Linked DNA regions of Saccharomyces cerevisiae S288C. Changing the gene in region 2 together with the main gene of any one other region gives a genetic interaction. Each region holds a gene or a part of one and is shown on either strand. Other genes may lie near its edges. The genes, in order: YHB1 and HBN1.

Region 1 (3,862 bases), on a different chromosome or scaffold from region 2:
GGGGTCTTGTTGTTTTGCGTATGCAATGCCAACAACCTTCAGGAACACCATGGGTCTCATCCATAATCTAGAAATGAACACCTTTCCACACTTTACCGAAAGACAAGATCGTGTTTGGAAAGAAACAAAGAGATTAAGTACCGCGTCTGTGCAATACTACTATGATGCCAAAAAATGGTTGAACAAAGATGTAGAAAAAACAGGGAATGCAATCAAAAATTGGACTGGCGTTAACGTGAAGTGAACTCTGTTTAGCACCTGGCGCTTATTCATCTTATAAATACATACACAATCTTTACTTACTATCTAAATATTCCACATAGGATTTCACAAGGATTTCACGAGGATTTCTAACACAGTATAACAACAAAAGATTAGCAATGGTCTCATGTTTTAAAAATTTTTCTTATTTCGTAATATAACTTCTCAAACTGTGAAATCGAACAAGTGAAATTATCAAATGAATCAGTAATAAAATTGAAGTTTCCGAGGCTTAACGCCTAAACTTGCACGGTTGACATCTTTGGACCAAATGGTTCATAGTGAATCATATCATCACGATGCTCTAGTTCTTTTAGATGACCAATCATAGCTTGCATAAAAGCTAAAGAGCCGCAAGTGTAGACATCGGCATGCGCAGGTGACTTTTCCTTCAAGAATGCAGCATTAATCAGTGGTTCAGTATCAGTATGAACAATTATTTTGTCGACATTCGCACATTCAGCTAATAGTTCATCTACATGTTTTTTGAATGCTTGAGTCTTTTCATCATAGGAAGATTGAATCCAGTAAATTGGCCTATTTGGGTTGCATTTGACTTGTTCTTCTAACATAGCTAAAAGTGGTGTAACACCAACACCAGACGATAGTAACACCAATGGAACTTCGTTTTGGTGTATCAACTCTTTATTTATTGCGAAATCACCAGCCGGAGCACTAAGCTTAATTTCATCACCAACTTTAGCGTCCTTGTGTAAATATTCAGAGACTAATCCTGCAGGAAAATTTTCTCTGGCAGCTTCCATCTTTACTGCAAATCGTAAACCATTTTTAGTTGAAGCAGAACAAAGAGAGTAGTGTCTTAAAGCGTCGTATTGGTTTTCCTGTCTAATTGGGTGAGTGTTTACCGTAATATACTGACCTGGAGTGATTGGCAAGCTTTCCAATTCAATACCAGAACCGAACTTTGGCTTAACAGTAAATTCAACAATATCTGAAGCAACGTACTCTTTGGCAGTAATGTCAAATGGTTTCCAACCTGGCCATAAAGCTTCTTCGTACATTTTTTTTTCAACAGTGATGAAGATGTCAGCAATTGCTTGGTAAGCCTCGCCCCATGCATTAATTATCTCTGGAGTCGCAGCATCGCCTAAAACTTCCTTGATTGCTTTTAACAAGTACTCACCAACGATTGGATAATGCTCAGGTTTAATTTGCAAGGCACGATGCTTGTGGCCAATTTGCTTGACATGGTCCATAAGCACAGACAAATCGTCAATGTTCTTAGCCGCTGCCAAAACAGTAGTGGCCAAGGCATTTGGTTGTGCGCCAACCTTTTGATTAGTTCTGTTAAAAATATTAAGTAATTCGGTGTGTTCAGTAAGCATATTTTTGTAGAATGTACGCGTGATGACAGTGCCCTGCTGTTCCAAAACAGGAACGGTTGCTTTGATTATGGAACGGGTTTTTTCGGCTAGCATAATGAATAAAGTCTTTGTGTGGTTTGTTGAAAATGGTAAAAAATGAACAAGAATATACTGTATAAGAAAAATCAAGTCTCCACCTCAACCCACAATATTGTTATATATATATATATATATATATTTCCGTGTGTGTACAACATATTTCATCAGTAGTCTTGTACTTGACCACACACGGAACTGAAATGAAACTTTAACGGCAACAATTCAATAATAGTTGCTCTTAGATCTCCGTACAAGGAATGGTTAATTTCCGTATTTTCAGGTGGCATCAATACCATAATGTGTGAGTGCCAGCAAAAGATAGTTTTACAGGCGGTTCCTGCATTGCTTTCTGAGAGGGATGATCTGAAAACTATCCGTCGAAGACGCATAAGCGCGTCCGCTATTTTAGTAACGATTAGTAATCGAGCATTTAAAATTGACATTATTGGATAAAAAGAATACGTTATATCGGCCGGAGGATCCAACTTTAGTAGAAATAGAAAGATTTGCCGCGCAGACTATCATTTTCAGTTTAAATCCTCCACAGTATCAGAGTAGGCATCAAGGATGCCTTCCTTTGCTGGTACTCTGGGAAAATGTACCAGTTGGCAACGCAGGCGAACCAATAAACGAAGATTTCGGTCATTTGTTTTGCCGTCTGACCTTCTCAATTAGATTATGTCTTGGCAATTATACGAAGCTTGTGATTTTAAAAATGAGCCATGAGCTTGTTCGGAGAAGAGTCGCCTAAGGTACAGTGTGCACAGTTTTGCTTTTCAACGATGAATGCTTGAGCGTGGCGAAGAAAACCTTGCGGGCTTTTCGAAAATGTAAGGAATAAAAATGAAGTTTCCTGATTTATAAGCAAGCAATCACTGAACGAGAATATCTTGTAGTTAAGTGACTATCAAACGAGCATGAGGGTTACAAAGAACTTCCGTTTCAAAAATGAATATAATCGTACGTTTACCTTGTGGCAGCACTAGCTAACGCTACGTGAATGAACGTACCGTGCCCTATTATTCTTGCTTGTGCTATCTCAAGAATTGCATTTTGTAATAACAACTGCATGGGAAAAATTATATAGATTTTCTACTATTATGTCCGCCTAAGTCAGTTAACCATCTTTATCACAAAATATACAATTAACCAACTACTTAATCAATTCGGTTATATTGCTTAGTATATACGTCTTTGGCACGCGATTGAAACGCGCTAATTGCATCAGCCTATCTTTCTATGCAAGAATGCAAGAAAAATTGATGTGATGTGCCTTATCACAATTCATTACCTCCTATTTCCTCTGCAGCAACAAGTTTCCTTGATTATAAAGGTCTTTAGCGTGAGAGGTACAGGTGTTATGGCACGTGCGAATAAGGGCAGAAATTAATCAAATTTATCAACTATTTGGCGATGGCTCGAGACAGGTATAGAACCACTACTAGGTGATATTGAGGCTTTTGTACAATTTATAGCAAGTTTTTGAGAGTCCCTTCAAGTTTGTTACATAATCTTCTTTGTGCAACGTACAAGAGCAAAGTAGAAAAATTTGGTTTTTATTTTTTTAAGCAACATCAGCTGCACTAGTTGAGCTTTTGACAAGACATACTGCTCAAAAAATCTTCATAACATTATTTTTCGGTTCCACAGTGATTGAGCTTTTTGAGAGAATAACCCTTTGGAGGCAACATAGATAGATAAACGTGCAATGAAATTCGGCAAGTATTTGGAAGCCAGGCAGTTGGAACTGGCGGAGTACAACAGCCATTTTATTGATTATAAGGCTCTAAAGAAACTTATCAAACAATTGGCCATTCCCACGCTAAAGGCTAGTTCAGATTTAGATTTGCATTTAACATTAGATGACATCGACGAAAAAATTATACATCAGAGACTGCAAGAAAATAAAGCTGCCTTTTTTTTTAAACTAGAGAGGGAGCTGGAAAAAGTAAATGGTTATTATTTGGCGAGAGAGTCCGATTTAAGAATAAAATTCAATATATTACACTCAAAATATAAAGATTATAAGATAAATGGTAAGCTAAACTCAAACCAAGCTACCTCATTTAAAAACTTATATGCGGCTTTCAAAAAGTTTCAAAAGGATCTTAGAAATTTGGAGCAGTATGTTGAGTTAAATAAAACGGGATTTTCAAAAGCTCTGAAGAAATGGGACA
Region 2 (2,958 bases):
ACTACTGCACAACAAACTTTGGAAACCAACTTCAATGATCATCATGACTGCAATAAAAGCACTGAGAAACACGAGTTGATAATACCCACCCCATCAAAACCACTAAAGAAAAGGAAAAAAAGAAGACAAAGTAAAATGTATCAGCATTTACAACATTTGTCACGTTCTAAACCATTGCCGCTTACTCCAAACTCCAAATATAATGGGGAGGCTAGCGTCCAATTAGGGAAGACATATACAGTTATTCAGGATTACGAGCCTAGATTGACAGACGAAATAAGAATCTCGCTGGGTGAAAAAGTTAAAATTCTGGCCACTCATACCGATGGATGGTGTCTGGTAGAAAAGTGTAATACACAAAAGGGTTCTATTCACGTCAGTGTTGACGATAAAAGATACCTCAATGAAGATAGAGGCATTGTGCCTGGTGACTGTCTCCAAGAATACGACTGATGAAAATAATATTGACGTTCGCATTTAATCTATACCTATAATTCTGTACTTATATACTGTTCCTTAATTGAAGATTTCAACATCGTTTTTGATGTAGGTCTTTTCACCTGGAGGTGCGGCTGGGGTACCGAAGACTAATTGAGCTTGTACGGTCCAAGACTCAGGGATTTTGCTTGGCAAAGCAGCTTTTATGTAACCATTGTAGTGTTGTAGGTGACCACCCAGGCCCATTGCCTCCAAGGCAACCCACGAGTTGATTTGAGCGGCACCAGAGGTATGGTCCGCGAAACTAGGGAATGCAGCTGCGTACGCTGGGAAGTCAGCCTTTAGCTTTTCAGTTACCTTGTCGTCGGTGAAGAAGATTACAGAACCAAAGGCCTCATCCCTTGCTGAAGCAGGCCTCTTTTGACCGGCAGGGCTTTCTATAGCCTTAGTCACTTCGTCCCAAACTTTTTTGTGAGTTTCACCAGTCAAGATAACAGCGCGATTTGGCTGGGAGTTGAAAGCGGTGGGTGTTTCTTTAATGATGGTTTGGACGACGGATTGGATGTCGTTGATAGTAATTTCACCAGGTAACTCCGGTTTCAAAGCGTAAATAGTACGACGAGCAGTTAAAGTTTTCAAATAAGTTGCAACAGCAGACATGATATTGGATTGTTTTTTTGTATATATGTTGATATAGGATACTTCAGTCTACGAAAAAAGTACAAATTATGTAGTCAGTTCCTTCAGTATGGTGTCCTTATATACTGTAGTTTGGACAAGGTGCAAATGCCAAGACCCTAGCCCGAAAAGCTCGAGGCACCCCAGGATCTTTTTCTTTACGTAATTTTCACGTAAAACGCCACAGTCCGATTTTTCTCGAATAATCATTAGTAAAAGCGGTATACTGGATTATTGTACGATAACAAGGTAGAGCTTTATTACTAAGCTAAGACGTTCTTACATCAATAGTGCTGTTCGTTATTGATGTTAGGAGAAGGAGCGGGTCTGGTGAATAGTGTAAGCAGTGTTTCTGAACTTTTTCTTCGTCTAAGTCCTTGTAATGTAAGGTAAGAATGCAAGCATCTTGTTTGTAACGCGATTGTACGTTGACGTTAGTAAGTCACAAACCCAAGCTTAACTTCTTCGTGAGGAAGGAAAGTGTTGTCTCCTACTTTTTTCAAATTTTCGAATTGTATTTATATTTATTTAGTACTTCTTGAGTTTACATATCCTTCGTAAAAATGCAACTTTTGTCGAAAAACACTTCCAAAAAAAAATAATAATGAATTTATGAAGCATACTAACGAGCGAGCACATCGCTGAGGTATCATTACTTCATGAGATAAATTAAGATCTCCTCATATGCGAATTTCCTGTTCAGTGATAAACGTTGATTACGTTATTGATAAAAGTCTTTTCTTCTGGCAAGGCAGTTGGAACACCAAAGACCAATTGAGATTGTACAGTCCACGCAATAGGAACATCTTGAGGCAAAGCAGATTTGACGTAGTCATTATAGTGTTGCAAATTAGCCCCCAATCCCAATAGTTCGAGGGCAGTCCAAGACTGAATTTGCACAGCACCGGTCGTATGAGCGGCGCATGTTGGGAAAGCGGCTGCCAAGGCTGGAAAATCTCTTTGCAGTTTTTCAGTTGGTCCTTCATCAGTGAAGAAAATGACTGAACCGTAAGCCTCATCTCTGCAAGACTCTGGTCTCTTCTTGGCTTCAGCAGTTGGCATTGCGCTCGCAACAGCATCCCATATCCTTTTGTGTGTATCACCAACGATAATGACAGCGCGATTCACTTGTGAGTTAAAAGCTGTTGGCGTATTCTTGAGAATAACGTGTACAGTTCTCTTTACATCATCCAAACCGACACCTTGTGGTAATTCGGGCTTCAAATTGTAGATGGTACGACGGTTTGTAATAGCGTTTAAGTAGTTTCCAGTTGGGGACATTTCTTTGGCTTGGAGGTCTGGTGTTCTTGATTTTGATGGTGTATATAGCTTTAAAAAACCAAAAATGATCAACCTTTATATCTCTCTTCGATCACAACATGGGTGGAGACAAACACAAAGTAGTGATGACCCACTCAGGTGTTAAAGTGTGTCATATCTGCAAATGACACTGTATTTTTTTTTCCTTTGCCATTTATTGTCGCAGTAAGGAAAAGCGCAGAGCAAAGCTGACAAATTGAAAAATTATTCGGAAGAGCATTGACAAATATTGATTAATAATCAAGTAACACTCGCAGACATTGTTATTTCAGAAGTAAAAATATCGCAGAACAAGTTGGTTAAACTGAATGCTTCAGTCATTCTAATGCTAATTACACCTTAACAAAATTAAAAATTCTTAACGTAGATTTTTAAAAAAGGCAAGAAGATCGTTCCTGATGCACGACGAAAACGGTTGCACCCCTACTAAGGCAAAATTGCATATGCGGATGAAATCAAACCTCTTCTGTTGCATTAAGAACAAAAGGAAATCATTTTTCTCTCACTTCATATTATTTCACT

The links.
Region 1: of HBN1 (region 2) and YHB1, changing one enhances a phenotype caused by changing the other (phenotypic enhancement), as found in Saccharomyces cerevisiae (one study listed by BioGRID).

Annotation. Positions count from the first base shown.
Region 1 is NC_001139.9:957,742-961,603, reverse strand, and holds YHB1 (flavohemoglobin), read right to left. Parts: upstream 1,701-3,862; coding exon 501-1,700; downstream 1-500. Other genes in the region: MIC26 (Mic26p), read left to right, coding at 1-244; PHO81 (Pho81p), read left to right, coding at 3,394-3,862. UniProt on the Saccharomyces cerevisiae protein: Is involved in NO detoxification in an aerobic process, termed nitric oxide dioxygenase (NOD) reaction that utilizes O(2) and NAD(P)H to convert NO to nitrate, which protects the fungus from various noxious nitrogen compounds.
Region 2 is NC_001135.5:72,889-75,846, forward strand, and holds HBN1 (putative nitroreductase), read right to left. Parts: upstream 1,099-2,958; coding exon 517-1,098; downstream 1-516. Other genes in the region: FUS1 (Fus1p), read left to right, coding at 1-453; FRM2 (type II nitroreductase), read right to left, coding at 1,816-2,397.